Linked DNA regions of Oryzias latipes. The protein of the gene in region 1 purifies or fractionates together with the protein of each later gene. This does not show direct contact. Links are inferred from orthologs where the notes say so. Each region holds a gene or a part of one and is shown in the gene's direction. Other genes may lie near its edges.

Region 1 (6,410 bases):
CCCTTGTGCTATCCTATGACCCCATCCTTACATTGACGTGTTATTCCTACCATGACAAAGGTGGATAAAAGTGAAGATCACAAATCATTGAAGAAAAAAGGTTCAGCGCACTGTCTTGTGGGGTCTAGATGACCCAACTCCCAATGTTACAGTGCCTAGGATAGCACAAGGGTTAACATAAGCTTGGACACATAAGTTAGTAATGTCAGCCATGACCGTTTAAAAAAAAAATGATACCTCTTTTTGAGTTAATTTACAGATGTGACTTGCTGCTTTACAGCGATGGGCACTAAAACAAGAACGAAAAATGAACTAAGAATTAAATACCAACAAATGTCTAATTATTTATTAGAAAACATTGTCTCCAGACATTTCACTGTAAAATAATTCACATCTTGTACATACTATTTGCAGTAATGAAATAATGATTAAATTAAAATTAGGGCATCATTTCCTCTATATTTTACATCTATTTTTGATTGAAAAATGTAAGTGCAATACTACGGATCCATCTTTCTATCTCACTATGTTTGTATTTGGCGCCCCCTTGTGGTTGTTTTCTAGATTTCTTTGTAAAATTTGATGAGTTCAAGACATACTCATGACAGAAAAACAATAAAGGATTGACAATGGTAAAAAAAATTTTAATCACAAATGCAGTGTTGCTAAAAATATGTAACTGTATTGCCTTTTCTGAAAACAAAACAAAACAAATAATAAAATCATTCAGCAAAACCGATACTTCTCATTTTACGCTCACTGCAGATTGGCTTAATCAGGTTTTGAAATTTGATTTTTTCCCATTTTATCCAGCTTTTTTCTTGATTGCCTCCACCGCTCTCCTTCGTTTTAGGTTTGTGTAGAACAGTGCAAAATTGATAACATACGTTGACACACAAACCATGCAGAAATCTCCCAAAACAAAGGCCAAAATAGATGCAAGATAGAGTGAGCCAGCCAGAGACACCCAGGAGGAGAGGACCAAGGCCAGCGCTGCCTTTTTAGACAGAGATAGTCCTGCAAAAAAACAAAAATTTATTTGACTTATCTTAACTTAAACTGTGTTAAACTAAAAGATGTCCACTGTAATTTTACTATGGTTCACTTACCGAGACCCAGCTGCAGAGTGTAAAATATGATGCCAAGGATGCTGTTGGGCTGGTTTAACAGACTATCTGTGCCCACAAAGTACTGGACCAAACCAAAACCACGTCCCCATCTGCCAGGGAGAAATTAAAACATGGAATCCAATTCCGGAAAATGTTACAAAAATCGTAAAAGTTTTCTTTGCATGAAAAAAAATTAAAAATAGTTGTCAAAGTAAAGGGCACGTCATGTTGGAAATATGTGAAATAACTTTGTGAGACATGCTATGGAGTCCATGCCATGGAGTCAGGGACACAACAAAATATTTACTTAAAATAATAGTTTTATGACCACGAATTAATATTTGATGACCAAGACTAAGGATTTTATGGGCACAGATGACTCATTAGTACCCACAAATTACTAGTGTGGGCACAAAACTGGCTAATCTGTGCCCTTTAAAATATTCACGTCTAAACAAAATATTATTTTGTGTCCACAACATGCTAATAAAATACCAACTTTTGGCCACAAAAAACAATTTTTAGCCACAAAATGCTAATCTGTGCCCATACAATGATAATTAATGGACACAAAATGCAAATGAAATGCTAATTCGTGCACACAAAATACTAAATTGTGGCCACAAAATGCTTATATGTGTGCACAGATATATGCCCACAAACGGCTAATAAAATACAAATTTGTAACCACAAAATACAAATTTATGTGGACAAAAAAATTTATGTGTTTTAAACAAAACACTAATTTGTACCACAAACTACTAATTTGTGTCCAAAAATACTAAACTGTTTTTTGCAAAATGCTAATTTGTGCACACAAAAAGTGTGAATCAATTTACTTTTTATTTTATTGTATGTCACATCCAGGCTTCCATACCCTCAATGGGAATTTCTAACACGTGGCAATGCTGGGGGGTGGAGAGAATCCACTGAAGTTAATGCAGGTTTTCAGCTTGTTAGGGGAAAAAGTTTGGAGTTGGCGCAGTTACTGCCGCTACCAGAAGGAAGAATGAAGTCATACCTAGAGGTGAAAACTTTGGAGCAGCTGACAGCCTCCCCCAGGTCGCACATCGCCCTGTAATCTGGGTCTCTCTCACGGGACAGCTCGACGTGGAGGGCATACACGGATAAAACCAAGCCGAAGAAACACAGAAAAACGCGCGCCTTCCTCTCCCATGCCGGCATAGCCTGATTTGCAGCCATGTGGACAAGTCTGGACAAATATGGATCACTATGAAAGTTTAGGAAATAAATGCCAAGATCAGCTTTAACAGTCTTTCCTCTCTTGTCCTTTGCATGGAGGCTCTGTTAGGAAACAGTCTCTTCTGATTGGACTCGGGAACTTTTTAAGGTTTCCTGTCATTGGATGTTTGGGTCCAGATGTTGAACCTCACATATGGTCGTTAAAGTTTGTTTACTACGGCCTTCAGCCTGTGCAGCTTTCTGGAAAAAAAGAAAGAGAAAAAAAGTTGCTGTGCGCATGCAAGCTGTACAGCTTTATAGAGAGATGTATAATAATAATTACAAATGAATAAAATAAATCTTTTTTTTAAAATAAAACTTCGTTCCATGATTTGCGTAAGTCTGTATATATGCATTTATATTTACTTTAATATTGTTTTTTTCCTTTTAGTAAATAATACTTAAAAAATCAAAAAAACAGCTAATTGCTGCTTTGTGAACGTGTTATAAAAACACAACATTTTAGCATGTTTTTTTCTTTGTAAATGACTAAACGAATAAAAATACAGTAAATACGTCATGTTTCGTTTTCTAAACTCAGTTCGTGGAAATAATAAAGATATAAACAAAGACAATCTTTGTCTTCTTAAACCCCGCCCTAAATTTTCTACGCAATTTCATTGGACAATTTCTTCAACGTTCTCTCATCTCATTGGTTCTTCGCTTTGCACTCAAAAGGAATAAGGAAGCGATTGAGGAAGCTCCACACAAGGTATTTTGAGGCTTCTCCGACTTTAAACATAATTATTATTGTAAAAACGTCTTAGAATATACAAATATGACATGCATTTTAGAAACGCTCGCGTGTAGTTTACATTCAAGCTTCATTACAACAAGAAAAAAGACCGTTTCGAGGCATTAATCAAAAGAAAAGACAGGTTCAGGTAGCAGTTAGGTTACGCCCCTGCGTCACAAAAAGTGGGTAAGGCTACGGTCATATATCTTTGTTTGTTGTTGGCAACACAGAATGTCAATTGCTGTGTTTTGAAGCTACCGTTAGGCCGATTTGATCGCTAACTAATCTGTCTCAGGACCTTTCACTAAAGGTAGGGGGTTCGTCCAGTTTACTGCTGGGCCTCACGGTCTGTTAGCACTGTTTGGATTCTTTATGTTCATGACATTCGTTTGCTTTGTGTCAAACAATATTGTTCTATTTACGCAGAAAACAAGGCTTCTTTCTGTAATTGGTCAGGGACAGGATATTACATACATTGTGGCTTGATTACTATTGTTGTTTTAACAGTCCGATTTCTCTTTTTAATTGTTCTATTTCAGACTGGGTTACTCTCAGAAAAAATACTTTTGGTGTTTCTTCAAAGTTCTTTTGATTCCATTTATTGATCATTTTGATCAAAACCTGTTTCATTTGCACATAACTATTTATTTAAGATATTTACAACATTTTGATCAAAACATGTTATTTCAAAATAAAGCTTAAATATTACGGTAGAGAATTTTTTGAAGATGTATGATAAAGTTGAATTTTTTTGTGTCTATACTCATTTAGGCCACCCAGTAATCCAAGCTGACATTGTTTTAACAGGTTTCTGGTGTGACATTTCAGCCCTGGGATTTCATGTGGGAAGTATAGATGTCAGTTCTTTGTTAATTCTTGGAAACTAACTTCATGAAAAGCAGTAAAGTGACAGAGAGAAAAACTCACAGTAATGTAGATGAAAGTCTTTTAAAAAGGGCTGCACGATTTAGAAAAAAAAACATGCAATGTGTGATATTAGTGATCAATATTGAAGTGATGATTGAACTTGCGATACATGAACAAAAACAAAACAAAAAATATTTCATTTCTATTGGAATAGTTTCAATAGAAGTCTACATTAAGTGTAAACCAAAGGACCCACATCAACAAAAAAGGGGTCCATCCGATTGGTCAAATGCGTAAAGGTTAAAACCGTCAAGCTGCCATAGGATGGTTTTTGCATGTGTGTTAACATTTAAGGTAACCATAAATTGCATAATTGCTGATATTGTGATGCAGAAAAATATGGGATTTATTGTGCAGGCCCACTTTTAACAGTTTTTTTTCTTTTTCTTCTAATCTTTCCAGAAAATGGCTACAAAAAATGCTGTGGCTGGAAAAATTGAGTCCAACATGGCTTCACCTGAAAGAATGGCCACGGAAAAGGGCAGAGAAGCCCAGAACCAACAAGGAGTGGAAGACGCCGACACCAGCACGACGGCAAAGAACCTGGCGTTGCTGAAAGCACACTCTCTCGATGTGAAGTTTGACGTTGGGGAGGAATATGATATCATAGAAACCATTGGTACCGGGGCATATGGAGTCGTTTCATCTGCCAGAAGACGGGACAATGGTAGTTACTGTCTGCCACACATTCTGAATACATGAAGAAATTGAATACGAGCTGCTCCTCACTCTCACTGCTCATCCCTCCGTGTCTTTCACATACACAGGCCAGCAGGTGGCAATAAAGAAAATCTCCAACGCTTTTGAGGTGGTGACAAATGCCAAACGCACCTTAAGAGAGCTTAAGATTCTCAAACATTTCAAACATGACAACATTATCGCCATCAAAGACATCCTCCAGCCAAATCTTCCTCACTCAGCCTTCAAGTCTGTGTATGTATACGTGTCCTTTTGGCTCATAAAAAACAATTTTCCATTTTAAAATGTTTTCTATGGATGAAATTGCACATAAAATGGGAATCTTTTAAAAACTTACATTTATTGTATGTGTGTGCCTTTAAGTTTTGCTCTAGACAGATTTAACCACTTTTATCTCTATTAGTTAAGTTAGTTAAGAGTATTTCAGTATTTTTAGAGGTCACTTCAAATGCTTTGAGGAGAATCTGTTGTCTTACCTCTTTACTTGCTGTGTGTCCAGGTATGTGGTGCTGGACCTCATGGAGAGTGACCTTCATCAGATCATCCACTCCACCCAAACACTAACCCCCGAGCACACGCGCTACTTTCTCTACCAGCTCCTCCGTGGCCTCAAGTACGTGCACTCTGCCAACGTCATCCACCGCGACCTCAAACCCTCCAACCTGCTGGTGAATGAAAACTGTGAGCTGAAAATCGGGGACTTTGGCATGGCCAGGGGGCTAAGTTCCCACCCCGAGGAGTCGTACTCCTTCATGACCGAGTATGTGGCAACTCGATGGTACCGCGCTCCTGAGCTGCTCCTCTCTCTGAACCATTACAGTCTGGCTATTGACCTGTGGTCTGTGGGCTGCATCTTTGCGGAAATGTTGGGCCGAAAGCAGCTTTTTCCTGGGAAACACTACGTCCACCAGCTTCAGCTCATTTTAAGTGTGTTGGGCACACCTCCTGAGGGTTTAATAAGCGCTATAAGGGCTGAAAGAGTGCGCTCCTATGTTCAGAGCCTTCCATCACGAACTGCTGTGCCTTTGTCCAAACTGTACCCACAAGCTGAACCAGATGCCCTGGACTTGCTGGGGGCCATGTTGCGCTTCGATCCCCGCCAACGAATCGGTGTGACGGAGGCACTCGAGCACCCATACTTGGCGAAATACCACGACCCGGATGACGAGCCTATATGCGTTCCAGCTTTTGACTTTGAATTTGATAAGATTGCAATGAGCAAGGAACAAATCAAAGATGCCATTTTAATGGAAATCCAGGACTTTCATAAAAAGAAACAAAGCTGCCGTCAGAAGCTGCAATTCAAGCCATTGCCGAGAGGGAACAAGGGAGCCGCTGCGCAAAGTAATAACCAGAGTAATGCTCCAACTGCTGACAATCTGACCGAATCCTCACTGCTTCCAATGGTACCAAGAGCACAACAGATACAGCAGCAGCAAAACCATCCAGCAGAAGCAAACCAAGCATTTGCTGATCAGATCAAAGCCTTTGACAAGTCTGCAGCCCTTTTAGATGTCACCAGGACATGCGTGACCCACAATTTATCGCTTCTCAGTAAAACTGAAAGTGGCCCAGTTGACGTGGATATGCCCAGTGCCAACTCTGACAGCGGCCAGCCGGAGACGATAGATTTAACGACCCCAGTGTCTAGTCAGGGTGCTTCATCGGAAGCGATGAGAGACCGTGAAGTTCATGAG
Region 2 (6,104 bases), on another chromosome or scaffold:
AGAGACTTCAATCCAACTCTTCATGAAGTTCCAACGCAAAACAGCCTACAAGCTTTTATCAGCAGCTCCATTCTGACAAAAGACCTATTGATTTTATGGTAGAAGTAGCAGCAGATCAAATAAAACTCATGAGGTTTGGAGGAATTTGATGCCACAATTGCTCCGCGCAGAATTGAGATTTGTCCCTCCGATGTGGTAAATATTTGATCTTAGGTGCAGTTCTGTTTGCTGCCCAAACATGCACACAGCAGCAGTTCCGGATGTTATAGTATCAGCTTTGGCAGGCTTGTAGGTTATGTTTTCAGCATTTGTCTGTGATTATAAAAAGCTTAAGCAGAATGAGTAACGTTTAAATCTTGTAACGTGGGTTATCTGAAACCAGCTGCGTGATCGAAAGGCAAAAACAGACAGAAAGCTCTGCCAAAACCACGGAGGATTTCCTCTGATGCTGTAAGAGAGGGAAAAAATAAGATGAAGCGCTTTTGCAGATGATAAAACAACCGAAAAGTTCTGCTAAACAGGTACAACTAGTTAGTTTCTAAGATCAGCTGAAACTACGGCTGTTTTCACTATGTAGAGGATATTTCAAATGGCTGAGAAAACAATACTGTAAAACCAATAAAAACGTTACAGTTTTGTTAAAAACGAATCATTTAAAGCAGGTCTTCACAATGGGAGACCTGTAAGGAAGCCATTTGTTAAACTCTGCTGCACAACCCTTTTGTTGACATAAAATGACTTCTGTTAATGACAACAAGTCTATTTTTCTTCTCTTTATGAACAAACGGCTGCAGTTTTTGAGAGGTACTTTCTGCACGTTGAAAAAGATTAAACCTTCTTCAAAAAAAGGTGTTTTTGGTGTTTTTAACGTTTTCTTCTGGCATTTTTCGGATGACGGAGGTTATAAAGAAAGTCACATTTCTGAACAGTTGTTGATTCAAATGGTTGTGAACCAGAAGAAGAAGAAGTCTTGATGAGCTGGCATCTGACTCAAAACTGTACGGCTGTAGGTTGGGGGCGTGAGGGGCTGTAAGCTACCAGGAGAGCAGGTAAACCGAAAGCTCTATACAACTATGAAAGGAAGGAGCCCCACCCACAACTCAAAAGCAAATTTCTAATGAATTCCTGCTGCTCTGCAGACACTATGTTCTACACTATGACACAGTTTTTTTTTTGGTTATTCTTATTTTAGCTAAAACTGCACGAACATAATTGAAAACCACATGGGAACACTGTTAAAATGGATCCAAAGATGATCAGAGTCAGTCTTTAAAATTGCACAACGTCGTAGTCTTCCTTGAGCATTTTTACCTGTTTGATTTGGGTCAATGTACAATTGAGAAGAGCCATTGCTTGGTTGTCTCGGTTTTTTTGTTTGTTACCATTTGTGTTATTTGCCTCTTCTGTTATAGAAGTGTCAGAAGAAGTGCTGTAGCCTTTAACTTTAACATGTTGGCCTTTGATTTTTTTTCTAATCTTTATATAAGAGCTGCACTGTGGTGTAGTGATTAGCACTGTTTTCTCCCAGCCCTGGTTTGAATCCCAGCTGGGTCCTTTCTGAGTTGGTGTGGTCTCCTTGTGCACACTGACTTCCTCCCACAGTTGACAAACATGCTTCATAGGTTAATTGTTACTCTGAATTGTCCCTGGATGGGAATGTGGGGTTGGTTAGCCCTGCAACAGACTAGTTACCTGTCCAGGGTGTACCCCCGCCTTCAACCAGTGGTGGCTGGGACAGGCTCAAGCAACCTCTGGTTCCCAAAGCAAGTTTAAAAGGCAGATGGGTGAATTTTCTATGTCAGAAAAAAAACAACTTCACCAATTTCTTTCTGTGCTTAATTTAATTTAATTTGTTTTAATTTGTTTTAATTTAATTTAATTTAATTTAATTTAATTTAATTTAATTTAATTTAATTTAATTTAATTTAATTTAATTTAATTTAATTTAATTTAATTTAATTTAATTCTGCATGGTCACATGTGCCACCATTAGATGGTGTATTACTGAGAAGCACTTTTAAAACAAAGAAATACTTTTCCAAACTCAAATCTTTTTTGTCTTGCTCATTTAAACACATTTATTTCGTGTCAAGCTCCTGTTGGCGTTAGAAGGCGTTCAGTGGGTTGTGTAGTAATAACCATCCAAGCCGCTAGGTGGCGGTGTCGCTTAACCTCTCTGTGCAGCAGCAGCGTCTGTTTCCCGTCGAAGAAGGCACGATGGCAGCAGCCACCATGAAGGCAACAGCAGTAAGTGCCTTTTTCAAACAAATATTCTGTTTTCTTCCTTTGATGATGCTTTTTTTTAATTTTAGTTATAGAAACTGTTCAAACAAGAGGTTCTGCTTTCAAAGTAAAAGAGTCACTTGCGTGTGCTAGTTTTGTTTTAAAGCGGCGGTTTAGAAACGTGCAGCGTTAGCTAGCTAACTCTAATGAATCAGAAATGTAACTGCTAGCTCTGACATTTACGACAATTATAAAATAGTAACAATTAAAGAGGTGGCACAACGACACACACATGATAGTTAACTTGTCAAGCTAACTCTATCTAAAGCTTTTGAGGTAGTCTCTGTAACGTGCAGTGTTTACTTTTTTCAGGGCGTTGAAGACATCGTGGTCACCTTTGAAGACCAGCAGAAGATCAACAAATTTGCCAGGAACACGAGCCGGATCAAGGAGCTAAAAAACGAAATCGAGGCAAACAAAGTAGGTAGAGGAGAAATCCTACAACTGTGTTGACCTACAGGTTGAACAAAATATAGAAAAGTAACTAGAATTTACCCTAAAAACTGCAGGTGGATAGACGAATTTAAAGTCACTGCCTTTATTTATTATCATTGAGTGATGCTTTATTATGAAAGAACTTTTCTCTCCAGAATCGTAATGTTATGTACAAATGTTGGCGAGGCATTTTGAAACACAGCTGGATAAGCACCAGTTGACGTGTTTTGTTGTTGCTTTCGCTCATCTTTAACAGCCGCTTGATGTCTCCTCTTAGAAAACTCTGCAGAACCTGCAGGACGCCAGTGATGACATCATGATGCTGGATGACGACACCATGCTCATCCCGTACCAGATCGGTGGCGTTTTTGTCAGCCACTCGCAGGAAGAAACGCAAAAGATGCTGGAGTCTGCAAAGGTCAGCCTGAAATGATTGACACTTTGTTTGACACAATTAGCAGTCAGACAGACGCAGATGTGCAGTTTAAAAAAAGAAGACAACTTTAACTTTTTTTTGTCTTTTTAAAGATTAGAGCAAAACAATAGATTTCTGTTTATTAGACTGCTGACCAAGCAGCAGAGAAACAAGGTGACTTACTCAGACTGGATTTCACTTCTATCACATTGAGGTCTGTGACTACTTTAGTCTTAAAAGGTCAATAAAATATTAAGCAATTTTGCAGAAGTTCCTTGCTTCAGATATACTTTAACTTTAACCTTCAGATATACTTTAACCAAAAAAGTGGATCCACCTGGATTAATTTTAAATCACAACAATGCTATATATATATATATATATATATATATATATATATATATATATATATATATATATATATATATATATATATATATATATATATATATATATATATATTTGGGGGATATATATATTTGGGGGATTGTTTTTACAGGTATTTTTGTGAGCAGCAAGCAGACGATATTCAAAACCTTTTAAGAAGACAATTTGATCTTGCACGCATTTACTGGGAAGATTTGTCGTTGATTTACATGATCCAAAAATGTTACAGTGTGAGAACGAGTGGCCGTTAAATTCCCTAGGTTTATAGACGGACTCGCAGAAGTTAATAGAGAACTGATTTCTTCTGGCAGAGGAAGTAGAGTAGAGCTGTTTTAAGAGCACACCTTCCAAAACAACCATTACCATCTGTAAAAAGTTGCTGTTTTACTCCTTTTGTCCAAATCAGTTTGCAATCTACGCCAAGATTGAAGATTGATTAAAAAACAAAAAAGAATAAAGCTCAGGTGTAGTTCACAAGGTGGCCACTAGGTGGCCCCCTTGCCCCCTCTACTTGAACTTCTCTACAGGAACAAACACATTTTTTTTTTATCCCAAAACCTGACAAGGATCCTAGACTTATAGACAACAGAAGACCTATCACCTTAAGAAATTCAGACTACAAATTATTACCGTACATTTTCGCTTCTCGTCTCAAGACCGGACTCTCAGGACTTATTGCGGAAACACAATCTGGTTCTCTGAAGGGCCGTTCAATTCATAATAATATAAGACTGGTTATGGACATCATTGAATACCGACACCTTATAAAAGATAATGGTTTTATTCTCTTTCTGGATTTTTACAAGGCCTTTGATTCAGTGGAGCATCCGTTTATAATGACAGCACTGGAAAATTTGGGTTTTGGTACTAAATTTAGAAACCTAATCTATGGTCTATATCAGAATATCAATAGCTGTGTTATCCTTCCTAATGGCACCACCCCAAGTTTCAAAGTTGATGTAGGGATCCCTCAAGGTTGTCCCATCTCTCCGTATCTGTTCTTATTAGCCACTGAAATGTTGGCAATTTATATTAAGAATTGTAGTGAAATCAAAAAGTTAAATGTCTTGGGCACAGAGATCATTATTAGCCAGCTAGCAGACGCCACAACACTGTTTTTAAAAGATGAGCATCAAATTAAAGCAGCTATTGAAAAAGTAAAACACTTTTCCAAAGCATCAGGGTTAAACTTACATTTAAAGAAATGTGAACTGTTGGCTATTCATGACACACCTTTAAAAGAAATCAATCATATCCCCATTAAATCAGAAGTTAAATACTTGGGCATCTATATCAACAAAGACCAAAAAATAAGGCAATCAAGGAATGTGGGTGAAAAACTTAATGAATGTAAGACGAGGTTGAATATGTGGCTCCAAAGAGATATTTCGCTGTTGGGTCGGATCTATCTGACAAAGATGGAGGGTTTGTCTATATCAGTGTTTTTCAACTAGTGTGCCGTGGGAAATTGTCCTCATTAACTGATCTAAAAACATTTTCCATCTCCAGGATTTCAGCTCTCTGTTCATTCATACAGGCCCTGATAAAACACTGAGGAGTTAGGAATATAAAAGATCATAAAATACTTTTTCTTTGCGTTTATTTTATTTTATTAAACACATTTGATAAGAATGACTGTACAGTACCGCGATTCAGCTGCAGCTCCGGCTGTATTTTGGAAAAGTCCCGCCCCTTTGACTGTCTCCACCAATCATTCTTGGGGAGCTTAATCACATGTCATCAGTTTGACCAATCAGAAGTGGTTAAAGTCTTCACTTCCTTGTCCCGATTTAGCTCGTAAAGTCGCTCAGCTCTAACAAAAATACCAGCTAAAGCTCGTCTTTAGCGGTGTAACTTTCCACAGAATCCGGTATCAGACCGTGGAACAAGTGAACAAAACAATGAAGCTCAGAAAAGCGATCTCCACCGGCCGTTTAATGCACTACATCTCCCATGATGCATTGGGTTGTGAAGGTGACAGCGCACAAGGAGATCTGTTGTTAGTCTTGAAAACAACGAACACACTTCAAACTTTTTTTAAATCTTCTAACTTAACTTTTATTGCATCTTTTAGAAAAAAACAGCTGCAGTTTCCAGCTTTTTCTGTAACAATTATCTCAAAAATGCATGTGAGATTGTGGAGGGGCTGTAGATCAATACAGACTATGACTTTCTCTTTTTTTTTTAATTTTTGGATGCTGGTGTGCCGCAGGATTTTTTTTAAGGTTAAAGTGTGCCGTGGCTCAGAAAAGGTTGAAAAACACTGGTCTAGATGTATTATTCCATCTTACTCTAATGCCATCCCAAACAAAATGATCAAATCCATCAACCAAATGACTTTTAACTTTATTTGGAGAAACAAGCCTCATTACATGAAAAAAAACTATATGGTCACAGGAACAAACACATGCAGCCTGGTTTTTCATGTATGATTAAACGAACTACCCATAATAAGTCTAATGGGAGTGAATCTGTTTGACCCAAAATGGGGGCGTGGTCTTCTATTTGACAAGTAACTGTTAAATCTTTAGCTTTCAGGCACTTTTGTGGTGTAACCATCCATTTGTACGGTTTGATTCAAATC
Region 3 (6,322 bases), on another chromosome or scaffold:
TTGATTCTGGATATGTTGTATCAATCTGTGCTGGAAACAGAAAGTCTCATTTTCTTTATTGACTATTTTAAAGCCTTTGATTCTGTAGAATAATTTTGATTGATTTTATGTACTCAACTCCAAGCATATCTAATTCTAAACAATCCTAATTAATAAGACATTAAATTTTTTGATTATGAGTTCCGTCTTAGGCAGTTTGCAAAATACACATTCTTTTTTCTGAAGGACAAAAACATGGTGACTAAAGACCTACAAATTATTTCCTTTCTCTCCAAAGCTTCTGGCCTTCGACTAAATTTACAAAAATGTGAATTACTACCCCTGTACTCTTGTCTGGAAAAAGAAATCTTCTCAATGTATCAAATGTAGAAATCATTAAATCATTGGTTGATCAGAGATTTAACAATTTTTGGAAGAAACTTGGAGTCCAAATCAAAAGGAATTTCAAATTCAATATATCTATGCAAATCTCTTTACATTAACCCAAAGAATGTCAAAAAAATGAACTCAATTATTTACCAATTTATTTAGAGAAATAAGATCCATTACATGAGAAAATGTCAGGTAGTAAAGGAATATAATTCGGGAGACAATTGATTTTGAATCAATGGTTGGAACTTTTAGAATAAAATGATTAAAATACTTTGTAGCTAATCCTGACTCAATATAGTTTCATTTTCAAAAAAACATATTCGAAAAAGTAGGTGGGTTAGACTTTTTTGTTGAGATGTGACTTTGAAATCTCCAAACTTCCTCTACAGACAATCAGGATTTCACAAACAAGTACTTTTCCATTTAAAAATAATATTTAGCCATAATGTTACCCCTCACTACGTCACCCTATGAAACAACAGAGTAATTATCACAAACAGGAAAACAATGTTTAATCAGAATTGGTTTGACAACAAGATCATTTTTGTAGAGTTATTCTTGAATCGAAAGGAGACATTCTTCAATTAAGCAATTTCAAAAGCAAATATGATATTGAATTTTCAATTAAGGAATTTCAGAATTAATTAAGGAATTTCAGAAAGCAATTCCAATTGCTTTAGTACATGTAATAAACACTAAAATGTTGTTTTCCAGTGTTCAAGTAAAATTACCAAATTTAGTAATAGGTGAAACAAAATTTACGGAAGAAAAATGTGATAATAAAGGTACAAACAAATCCCTTAAAGGTAAATCATGCCATTACTATAATAGTAAAGTTAAATATTAGGTAACTGAGGCACCTGTCTTATTGGGTGCTCAACAATGGAAATTCATAAAATGGCCCATACTCCGAGATTTAAGAAATGCAATTCAAGATTATAAACAATTATTACCCATTGGCAGAGACGTTAAGGGGTGGATTTGACTTTAAGGTTGATCCTGATTACTCCAGTTTCTTCTCTGATGCCCCCATGCTCGTTATCGACCCCTGCCTGCCTGACCCTGATTTAGATTTGTGAACTTTTAGCTGTGCTAATAAAACCTGCTGCAATTGGAACCAGGCACCTGCCCATTTTGTGACACATTTGATATCAATGACAATATGATATCAATCTGAGGGGCTGTGGCTCAGGTGGTTGAGCGGGTCGTCCAATGATCGAAGGGTCGGCGGTTCGATCCCTGCTCCCCCCAGCCAACTGTCGTTGTGTCCTTGGGCAAGACACTTCACCCTCCTTGCCTCCAGTGTGGCTCCACTGGTGTGTGGATGTGCATGAATGTCCTGGTGATGGTCAGAGGGGCCGTAGGCGCGAACTGGCAGCCACGCCTCTGTCAGTCTGCCCCAGGGCAGCTGTGGCTACAACAGTAGCTTACCATCACCAAGTATGAACGAGGAGTGAATGAATAATGGCCACAATGTAAGCGCTTTGAGTGACTTGAAAAGCGCAGATAAATCCAATCCATTATTATTATTATTATTAATATAAATCACCAAACATTATGATTAAGATGGATTAATTACATTAGTTGTGGAAACTTTTCTAATCAAATATGTTTTATGCTCAGGAATATTTTTAAAATATTTTCACATTTCAGAGAGGAAAAATAAGTCTAAAGTTGTTTTCCCTTTGACTAACATGAAGCACTGATTTTGTGCAGACTTTTGTCCTGTTCTTTGGTCATGTTTTAGGTCTCATAACTTTGTGAAACGTTTAGTTGATTTTTATATCATATATATTATATATCATGAGCTGATTTTGCGCTGATTTGAAATGTGTATTAACAATTTAAAAGGTTTGTTCTTTATGTTGCAGTTAGTCTTTTACTTTTTATTTCTCTGACAGTCAAGCCATGGCAGCGGTTTAGTGCAGCTATCCATTCTGACCGATGGAGGCAGCAAATCCCCTTCCTTTTCTGAGACGCCTTGTGCGCATGCTTGAATGTCAGGAAAGAGGATTCTATCTTCAACATGGCGGCGACCATAGATCCCAGCAATGCTTCACAGGCGACAAAGAAAAAGCACCTCGGCATCCCTGAAGCAGTGTTTTTGGTGTGTAAAGTTTAGTTTTTTTATCTATCGATATTTGGTGCCTGTTATACGTTTTTGGTCACAGCTATTGGCTAGGCGCCTCGTGCTAGCTTGGTAGCATATAGAAGCTAACAGATTATCCGCTCTGTGTGCATGCTGGGCGGCTGCCAGCTTCCATTTATGGTCATCACCGGCCGGGTGGAAACTTTGGGCTGCGTGTGCAGGCTTTTTTAACTTCTGCTTTTTTCTTTTTCTTTCTTCGCAAACAATATTAAACACGAACCCTATATTACCTGCGGATACGTTTCATACATTTTCTCGACTAAGTGTATTGTCCATAATTAGACAAGCAATTGATTAATAATTGGAAATAACTAAAATGTCGTGAGCTTTTTTCATTTATATTTACCATTCTTGTTGTGTTGTGTTTCAATCGCTAATGTAAGTGTTTGCATTTTGATATCGATGCAATTAAATGGAAAGAAGTGACTAGTTTTTATATAGATTTTTTTATTGTTTTGTAGTCTTGTAAAAAAAAAAAAGTAATATTCAGGGATAGTTGGGGGTTTAAATAGAACCAGTCAATATTTAAAACAATAAGCTTAAGTCAATAATAGCCTACGTGCACGATAGAACTTCCGGTTAACTTCCGTGTTTCGAGTGTGAGGCCGACAACTTCCTGTTGGTCGTGTTATTGTTGTGTGGAGTTTTGTTGAGTTGCTAGTTTTGAGTAAATAGGAGCGGATTTCGGGTAAAAGAAAGGCGTTTGTTGTTTCAACGCGTGAAAAAGACATCACAACATTGTTGTGTACCCGTGTTCGAATTTGTCAAAGTACAACAGTACTAATATAAGCTTTCTTAGCTTTCCAGTATATGTGTCGGCGAGAGCCGAATGGATGGTGAACACGGCGGGAGGACTTCACCCCAAGCAAGACGAGTCGTGTTTCGTATTTGCAGCAATCGGAAAGAAAATGCGTCATGTAAACACGCCGATCAGAATACTTTGCCCCGGTCAGACTCGTTCGGATCGAAATTTCTTTCCGATCGAGATAGCTGGATATACCGATCGTTGTTCATGTAAACGGTCATTCCGATCGTGTGTCACTGCTGCTCTGGGTTACGTCACGCATAGACGGTGTTTCGCTGAGAGAAAGCTAGTGAGCTCATGCGGGACCGACCAGCGGCTCTGCGGACGCCTCGCGTAAAGCGCCGCTCCGCTCTCGCCCCGCTGGCTCTCCCCTCTCTTTCACCCCTCACGAAGGACATGCGGGGGGGATGCGTGTCCACTGAGGTCTGGACCCAGCATCCGAGCTCTGCGTTCGGGCTCCGGTGCCAGTGGACCGAGTGAACCTCTCTGAGCAGAGCAGCCGGATTTATTAATGTGTTTGAGGGGAGGGTGCTTTGTTACGTGTGCGTTTTGTTATGTGTGAGAATTCGGACTGCAAGCCGAACCGCCGCTCTGGGTTAGCGGCTGCCGGACTCGCGAGGACAGAGCAGAGCACACAGTGTGTGTGAGCTTTTCAGAGCAGAAATGCCGCTCAGTCCTTAGAAACTGTTCAAAAAAATCACGACACATGGAATTGTGTTTCTAATTGTGCCCAGACAAATAAAGGCTGATCATTTACGTGCAGCCAGGATGCAGATTGCAGCGGTTCCCACATGGTTTGTCCTGGATTTTGTCTCCATCAAAAGGCTAATGTTGTTAGCCCGTGTTGTTAGCCTATCCTAACACTGGGTTGTTCTTCAGTTCTGTTCTTCTTCCACAAAAAAAGCACTGACAACAAGGATTAAATATAAAATGATGAGCGAACAGGCACTTCATAATATTCATAAAATTTAATAAAAGCACGTTTGGAAGATCGCCTCGTATATTACCGAGCTGCTGCATAAATATGTGACAGCACAGGTTTGTCTAACGGGACGCATTTCCTTTCGGTATTTTCGACACTATATATTTTAGACACGATATTTTGCCCATGTAACCATGCACTGGTCGACAATCCTGTAGATGTCGTTCACGTCGATTTTCGGGAGACCTTGTAGAAAACGGGTGAAATATGCCATCTTTCGCAATCAAAATCTGCCGTGTCGCTGCTATAGAAGTCGCAAGCCGGAAATGGTCGGCCTCACACTCAAGGCGGCGGAAGTAGAACTCCTTACTTTCGTGCACGGAGCCTATTAAATCAAATTTAGCTTATAGTAGTTTAATACATTTAATATTGCTATTACTATGATTATTATTAAACTATACTTTTTCAATATTTTTATGTGTAAACCTCCCAAGTCGTAGTATATGTTATCGTCTTAAGTTTGTATTTTGTTTTTCGTGTTAATTCTCCCCAAGCTTTTTTTAAGATATATATTATTGTTAAGTTCCTAAATTGCATTGGTGTTTGAAAAAATTTCCAATCAACTTAAGGGAAAAAAACACCTCTAATAATGGAGAAATAATTGATAAAGAATGTTACTCTGACGTTTAAAGCCATGATCTTTATGGCTTTTTTGTGGGGTTTTTTTTTTTGTTTTTTAAAAGATCAATAAACGTCCAACATTTGGACTTCGCCAATGGTCAAATAAATTTGTCAGAATTCTCTCTTTAAACTCTGGTTCACAGGAGGATGTCGACTTTTTTATGAAGCAGCCAGGCAATGAGACGGCAGACACCGTCCTGAGGAGGCTGGACGAACAGTACCAGAAATATAAATACATGGAGCTCAACCTGTCTCAGAAAAAACTTAGGTAATGCAAGAATTGTACAGCACACATGAACTGCTTTTATATACATATGACGGAGCTACTAAATGTAGTAGGTGGGTAGCTCAGTTGGGTGGGTGATGGACTGTCATATAATAAACCTGGGTTTGCTTCCCAGGACGTGCAATGAGCAAAAATCTAGTGGGGGTCCTTAGGCTAGTGCTTATCTGGGACTCTCTGTGCTTTGAAAATACAGAGTTGTGTCAGGAAGGGCATCGGTCCACAGGGCTCCAGACCATTTGGTCGCATTTTGCGACCAAAATTTGAGAGTGTGCGACTGAATTTTACATCCAGTCGCACATGTGCTACCAGTAAATTTGCCTCCACCAGCCTCCGTATTTTTATACATTAAACGTGGAAGGGGCATGTCAATGATCGATGAAATGAGCAATGAAATCATCAATGAGACGCAAGCGCACACACACGCTGACAGACACACACACACACACACACACACTCGCGCGAATACTCATGAGACTGGAGCACACGCCAGTGCACACTCGCGTGTCATTGAATGATGCCTGAGGCGGCCAATGCGTGTGAGAAAAATGGGGAAAGTCACTGCAAGTGGCAAAAATATGTGGAGGGGGCGGGGCCTAGAGATAATCCAGTGCGCGTAAACATCTGTGGGAAGGAAACGGAGACAAATATCACCACAACCTCATATGTGCGTCTGAGCTATGAGCAAGCGAACTATTGATTCGTTCTTCCGACCTGCGGCTAGTGTACCAGTGCCAGAGTCTACAGCAGGGGTCTCAAACGCGAAGCAAACCGCGGTTCTCCTGCGCGGCTGTTACAGCAGCATACCGCTCCCGCGGTAGTCGGGGCAGCTGAGGAGAATGAATGTCCCGCACCTACATGCGTGACAGCTAACGGGGCTGTAACATTAAACACGTGTGAGCGACTACACGATTTAGTCTTAGACACATTTAAAACACGTGTGGAAAATGCAACGATAGACGTGTTTAAGATGAACCAGCGCCCTGGGGGGGGGGGCATGAAGGCGAAGCTGCAGCGAGACTGAAGGAGAACAGGAATTAGTTGTCCTTAACATTCCATTTAGTTTTAATATGCCTCGCCCCCTAAGTATGATCTGTGATATTACATCTT
Region 4 (6,190 bases), on another chromosome or scaffold:
GTCTACGGCCTTCCAGTTCACCTGCAGTAGGACTGAGGCTGCAAAGAGGAAGTGACATTATGGAGTCATTTCTTTTGAAGAAATGTTTGACTTTTACTAATGTATGACTTGTATTTAACTCAGCTTTTCTATTTTTAACTATTTTTAATATTGAAAATGATTCCAATAGGTTTGTACAAATGTTTTTAGCAAATGATTTGCTTTTTTGAATAAATGTCTTCATGCATATTTTGCTTGTTTTCCAGAGGTTATTAAGACTCCAAAAACTAGTATTAACACTGTGGGAGCAAACTTGATTCTCTGAAACTTTCTTTATAATTCACTTTGGGATTAATACAGCATAAGACTAGCTGATCTGGAGCAGGGAAGATTGGGTCTACTTGACCTTGTTGATCAGATTTAGGGAGAGATTAGTTTAATTTTCGAACTACATTTCGAGTTCCGGCTTTAAAAGTTGTTTGAAAACTGGTTGTTATTGTTTAACACCTGAGTGACGCAAAGGACCATCATGCTACCCAATTTGCCTTCATATGCACATCTGAGGTGACGACAAATAAAAACTTTAGTGTAAGAGCTTGAAAAAACAAAGTTTAAGGAAGACTTGCTGTAAACATTCTGAAATGGCTCTGCATCAATGTTGTCTACATTTGTAGATTTTTTCTCTACTTTGTGTTACTTGAATATTGACAAATCTAATTTTTAATCTGCCTATGAAAAAGGAAGCAGGACGTCCTGAAAAAGAGGGGAAAAGTCTTAATTTGGTTCTTTTGAGTTTTGGTAGAATTTGCCGTTTTTGTCTATGAATAAGAGTATAAACTACGCTTCAAACCTCAGGTAGCCTACCTTAAGATTTAATTCCTAAATCCAAACTTCAAAGCGGGTGATGGCATAAAGAAAGTAGTGTCAATTTTGTCTAGAAAATACTAGGTCATTAATCTGCATGTTTCAATATTGAATAAATATTAAGCAAAAATAGAAAGTTCAAATATTTGTCACAAACACACAGTATGACATGCAGCCAAATGCTTCGTGTAACTGATATGCAAACTAGAACAAGTATGGGCCCCTATACTTGACCCACAGACTGCATGGCAGTTGTTCAACCTGCAGATGTAATTGACTAAATTAAAAACCAGATTATTGTACGTTTCCATGGTCTCTTATCGTAATTTTAATCTTCTTTCTCTTTTGGCTTTTCCCATCAGGGGTCGCCACAGCGAATCATCCTTTTCCACCTCACTCTATCATGAACATCTTCTACCCTAACGTTAGCCAACTTCATGTCCTCTGTTAAGACATCCATGTATCTCCTCTTTGGCCGTCCTCTTGCCCTCCGGCCAGGCAGCTCCATCTCCAACATCCTTCTACCAATATATCCACTATCCCTCCTCTGAACATGTCCAAACCATCTCAGTCTGGCTTCTCTGACTTTGTCGCTAACACAGGCAACATGAGCCGTCCCTCTGATGTACTCGTTCCTTATCCTGTCTAACCTGGTCACTCCTAAGGAGAACCTCAACATCTTCATCTCCGCTACCTCCATCTCAGCCTCTTGTCTCTGTCTCACTGCTACCGTCTCTAACCCATAGAGCAGAGCTGGTCTCACCACTGTCTTGTACACCTTTCCTTTGAGTCTTGCTGGCACTCTTCTGTCACACAACACTCCTGACACTTTCCTCCAACTGCTCCAACCTGCCTGCACTCGCCTCTTCACCTCTTTTCCACACTCCCCATCACACTGAACTGTTGACCCCAAGTACTTAAACTCCTGCACCTTCTTCACCTCAGCCCTCTGTAACCTAACGCTTCTACCTTGATCCCTCTCATTCAGACACATGTATTCTGTCTTACTACGACTGACCTTCATGCTTATCGTAATTTTAATATTCTGCAGAAAAAAACCCATTCAATTTCAATCAAAGAAACTGTTATGCAGAGTCTGCGTTAGAAAATAGTCATATAAACTAGAGCTAGTCAACATATTTAAAAAGGAAGTTTTCTTCTTTCCTTTTATTTATTTATTTTTTGCATTTCATTTTAAATCATATTTACTTTGAAACAGCTTTCATGTTCTAATAAACCGGAAAATATGTCAACCGGAAGTACATCTCGCAACCGGAAGAAGAATCCGTCTTTTGTCACCACGCTTCCAACATGGCGGTGAATCTCACAGACCTCTCTCTGCCGCAGTTAGAAGGACTCAAAGGCCAGCTGGACCAGGTAAAATGCGTGAGTTTAGACTGAATATGTGACCGCTGCTTCTTCATGAAGGCGTCTACGCTAAAGGCGGGAATGAGAGCAGCGCAGCGGCCGCGGAGGGTCATGATGTTTCCCCGCAGGGGCGTGGAGTTTCAGGTGCTGCTCGGTTGTAAAGAAGGGTTTTTGAGTTGACAGAGAAAAAACCGACAATAGTTTATTTTACAATTTGTCCTTAGACTTTATAGGATTTAATTGATACATAGACAGGATGGGTAGCGACCTTCAAGAGTTAAGAGAAATGAGTCACAGTTTGAACTTGCCTGGCCTTATCATTATATTATTTACATTTTTTTGTTAAATTTTGAATCAGGCTTATTGTTGTCATTCAACCAATACACCCGCTATGAGTGACAAAGCAGCTGAGTTTTTACAATGCACACATCCGGGGGAAAAAACGTACCTAACGGTACAGAAGTGAACTGAACCGAACCTGCTGTACTGAAACGCTTCGGTTCAACTACGTTTATTCTTACACCCCTAGAACATATAATACCCTTATTGATAAGGCATTCTGGCGTTGGGAATTATTATAAATTCTAATGAATTCAAGAAATGCAACAGAATCTATCCTGGTGAAGTAGTCACAGGTGTGCAGTTTAGTGTAGTTTACCTCTATGTGGCAGATGTCAGTGCTAAACATCTACAAAATTAATCAAATAACAACATCACTCACTGAAGTAAATTGTTGTAGCATTTCAGGATATGACTATGTTAATGAAAAACTACCTAAATTATTGAACACAATCGTGCTGGAAAGAAAAATTGCACAAAAGCACGACTGAAACCGTTACCAAAAAGCCTGTGTGCGATCATTTCCAGCTGAGCGCCGTCCAGACCGCGCTTGGTGGCCGAAAGAAACTGCCAGCTCAACATTTCTGCAAACTGTGGCCACGGGGCAGCAGGAGTGTTGGCATAACTTGGTCATTTCCAGGATCTGCTTTTGCAACCTCAGTTTCTCAGCTTTACTATCAGTTTTGTTTCACAATGCAACAAAACATCACACTTATGCGTCAATAAAAAACTGGAAACATTCGTTTTCTAAAACTAGTGAATGGTGGTGTATCTGAGTACATAGATGGAACTCCTCTGGGGTGTTTCTTTTAATTTTTTTTAATTGCTTTTTTGAAATTCATGCTGTGTTTTTTTTCCCAGGAAGTTGAATTCTTGACTTCTTCAATTGGCCAGTTCAAAGTTGTGCAGACCAAGTATGTTGAAGCAAAAGACAGTTTAAATGTACTGACCGAAAACAACAAAGGTATGTAAAATGTCCCTTACTGGTAATTTGTTTGATCATTAATGTTTTAAAAAATGTTTTATAGTTTTACTTCTAACTTTGCTTAGGATGGCACCTCTTTTAACCGTCACACCACGTGCGCATAGATCAGTGTTTTCACACCTTTTTTGAGCCACGGCACACTTTAACCTTGACAAAAATCCTGTGGCACACCAGCATCCAAAAATAAAAATAAAACTCCTAGTCTGTTTTGATCTACAGCCCCTCTGCAATCTCACATGCATTGTTGTGATCATTGTGGCAGAAAAAGCTGGAAGCTGCAGCTGGTTTTCTAAAAGATGTAATAAAAGTTAAGTTAGAAGATTTAAAAACTGTTTGGTGTGTGTTCGTTGTGGTTTCAAGACGTCAAAGGAAGACTCATTGTACACTGATACGCTGCCACTTTAACCCAATGCATCATGGGAGATGTAGTGTCAACAGCCGGCAAACGCCAGACAGACTGGCGTCTTGGAGCTTCATGGTTTTGTTCCCTTGTTCCACGGTCTGACACCGGATTCTGTGGAAAGCTACACCGCTAAAGACGAGCTTTAGCTGGTATTTTTGTTGGAACTGAGAGACTTTATGAGCAGAAATGGAACAAGGAAGTGAAGACTTTAACCACTTCTGATTGGTCAGACTGATGACGTATGATTAAGACTCCAAGAATGATTGGCGGAGACAGTTAAAGGGGCGGGACTTTTCAGAAAACAGTTAATACTGCAGCTAAATCACGGTACCGTCATTCTTATTTAAAAGTCTTTAATATAATCAAATAAACACAAAGAAAAAAGTATTTTACGACACCTTTTGCTTTGATTCCTGCTTTGCACACTCTTGGCATTCTCTTGATGAGCTTCAAGGTGACAGTGATGTTACGGAGCGAAATAACAAGAATAAACAAATACGTATCGTACACACATCCTAAATCCTAAGCTCCAAGTCGTGTTTTAAGCCCTTGACGTCAAATGTCAAGTCAGTGCATGTGAGGCTGAAGTGTCACTCAAGTCCCAGGTCCAAGTCTCCGACTGTCCTTCAGTCTTGGAGGCTACAGAATGTCTAATATATACAGATGGTTGAATTTAACAACTTTCCCTCTTTCTTCCATACAGGAAAAGAATTACTCGTCCCCCTCACCAGTTCTGTATCCTTTATCCATCTAACTATTTTTAGTCTTTTGTAGTCATTTACAAAGTCTATAGTTGTCATGAAAAGGTTTATTTATATAATAAGTTCCACAAATTAGATAAACTCCAACAAACCGTTTTCATTTGCTGTGCATCTGTAAACAGCTTGTTTCTATTGACCTTAAGCAGAGCTGCTGAACAGATGTACGTCCCCGGCACATTAAACGACGTGGAGCACGTGTTGGTGGATGTGGGAACGGGATATTATGTGGAAAAGGTAAAAGTGGAAGCACTTTGAAACTTGAACTTCATAAACAGTCAGTAGACTGTAAATCTTACTGTTTCTGTTCCCAGAATGTGAAAGATTCAAAAGAATTCTTCAAGCGCAAAATAGACTTCCTCACCAAGCAGATAGAGAAAATTCAGCCAACTCTCCAGGAAAAACACGGCATGAAACAAGGTAGGCCATTCTCACGCATGATATAGGGCTGGGAATTATTCTTATTTTTGTTGTATATCATCTTATTACTTTATGGAAGACAAAAATAACATTTAATGAGGCGCTAATGTGACTGAAGTGATAGTTTTATAGTCGGGACAAACTATAGTTATTTCATTATCCTCAGATTTAATGAAGCATCTGTTGCAGCAAAGAAAGTTTTTTCTTTTTAAATATATTTTTGTCCCTTTGGCATCCGGGTTTAATATGTTGGTTTTCCCTCTTGCAGCTGTGATTGAAGTGATGAACATGAAGCTGCAGCAGCTGCAGAGTCAGCAAGGATCACAGGCGGTTGGGACCAGCAAGGCTTAATGAGAGCAACACTTTCTGCATTTTTAACTCCACCCACAAAAACTCTACCGATACTGTTGTGTTGCTTTGGTCAGTCGGATCATTAAAGTGCTCACTATAACTTAAACAAACGTTTGACTTTGTTTTTTTAGAACGTACCGATAATCCCTACATTTTTTTTTATTGACAAGATGTTTAAATATATCTTATATTTCAGTTTTAACTGATTTGCTTGTTATAACAGGCTTTTTAGTGGACATGCAAGTTAATAAATGTTGTCATTAGAATTTCTAAGTTGATATAGTTTTCAAGAGCAGTACAGCAAATATATCATCTGAAGCTTTTTTTTTTTTTGCCTACTTAAATCTTTTTACAAGCAACCTCTGCTACAGAGACCTGATGGCTGCATCAGCTAAAGCAGTTCTGTCAGAAAACTGAGGCATGGCTCTAAAGAGGATGGCTCCTTTGCCTTTTTCTCTCCAGAACAAGTATCTGGAAGCGTGTTGCATTCAATGAAGAAACAAAACACTGGGGATTTTTTTTCCAAACGGGCTGGGCTCCAACCTCATCTGCTCATGAAAACTGTAAGATGGGCTGCAATTAAAAGTAATAAAGCAACATTGTGTCCGTGTCGTAGACATGAATCGTTTTGTTCCTCTGCTCGTCTGTTTTGTTCTTCCATCTGACTTTATCCACAAACATTAGAGACAAATGTTGGACGTCGTCCTATTGACCGGGACAAAC

Evidence for each region. Proteins that work in one complex are often made in the same cells at the same time.
Region 2: the proteins of mitogen-activated protein kinase 7 (region 1) and pfdn4 purify together in Homo sapiens (affinity purification with mass spectrometry; 3 studies listed by BioGRID and IntAct, with this or other methods). This does not show direct contact. The link is inferred for Oryzias latipes from reciprocal best matches to the Homo sapiens genes MAPK7 and PFDN4.
Region 3: the proteins of mitogen-activated protein kinase 7 (region 1) and vbp1 purify together in Homo sapiens (affinity purification with mass spectrometry; 3 studies listed by BioGRID and IntAct, with this or other methods). This does not show direct contact. The link is inferred for Oryzias latipes from reciprocal best matches to the Homo sapiens genes MAPK7 and VBP1.
Region 4: the proteins of mitogen-activated protein kinase 7 (region 1) and pfdn5 purify together in Homo sapiens (affinity purification with mass spectrometry; 3 studies listed by BioGRID and IntAct, with this or other methods). This does not show direct contact. The link is inferred for Oryzias latipes from reciprocal best matches to the Homo sapiens genes MAPK7 and PFDN5.

The regions. Positions count from the first base shown.
Region 1 is NC_019877.2:8,009,629-8,016,038, forward strand, and holds the start of mitogen-activated protein kinase 7, read left to right. Parts: upstream 1-2,979; 5' UTR 2,980-3,063; intron 3,064-3,086; exon of another isoform or gene 3,087-3,273; intron 3,274-3,286; exon of another isoform or gene 3,287-3,397; intron 3,398-3,894; exon of another isoform or gene 3,895-3,944; intron 3,945-4,416; 5' UTR 4,417-4,419; coding exon 4,420-4,681; intron 4,682-4,781; coding exon 4,782-4,947; intron 4,948-5,212; coding exon 5,213-6,410. Other genes in the region: vkorc1 (vitamin K epoxide reductase complex subunit 1), read right to left, coding at 806-1,017, 1,110-1,219, 2,131-2,312. UniProt on the Homo sapiens protein: Plays a role in various cellular processes such as proliferation, differentiation and cell survival. The upstream activator of MAPK7 is the MAPK kinase MAP2K5.
Region 2 is NC_019865.2:24,676,377-24,682,480, reverse strand, and holds the start of pfdn4 (prefoldin subunit 4), read left to right. Parts: upstream 1-2,134; 5' UTR 2,135-2,217; coding exon 2,218-2,247; intron 2,248-2,595; coding exon 2,596-2,703; intron 2,704-2,995; coding exon 2,996-3,136; intron 3,137-6,104. UniProt on the Homo sapiens protein: Binds specifically to cytosolic chaperonin (c-CPN) and transfers target proteins to it. Binds to nascent polypeptide chain and promotes folding in an environment in which there are many competing pathways for nonnative proteins.
Region 3 is NC_019876.2:19,821,381-19,827,702, reverse strand, and holds the start of vbp1 (prefoldin subunit 3), read left to right. Parts: upstream 1-2,352; 5' UTR 2,353-2,398; coding exon 2,399-2,479; intron 2,480-5,072; coding exon 5,073-5,197; intron 5,198-6,322. UniProt on the Homo sapiens protein: Binds specifically to cytosolic chaperonin (c-CPN) and transfers target proteins to it. Binds to nascent polypeptide chain and promotes folding in an environment in which there are many competing pathways for nonnative proteins.
Region 4 is NC_019863.2:4,451,467-4,457,656, forward strand, and holds pfdn5 (prefoldin subunit 5), read left to right. Parts: upstream 1-2,220; 5' UTR 2,221-2,265; coding exon 2,266-2,355; intron 2,356-3,411; coding exon 3,412-3,514; intron 3,515-4,641; coding exon 4,642-4,673; intron 4,674-4,858; coding exon 4,859-4,933; intron 4,934-5,010; coding exon 5,011-5,116; intron 5,117-5,384; coding exon 5,385-5,467; 3' UTR 5,468-6,088; downstream 6,089-6,190. Other genes in the region: espl1 (separin), read left to right, coding at 1-30. UniProt on the Homo sapiens protein: Binds specifically to cytosolic chaperonin (c-CPN) and transfers target proteins to it. Binds to nascent polypeptide chain and promotes folding in an environment in which there are many competing pathways for nonnative proteins.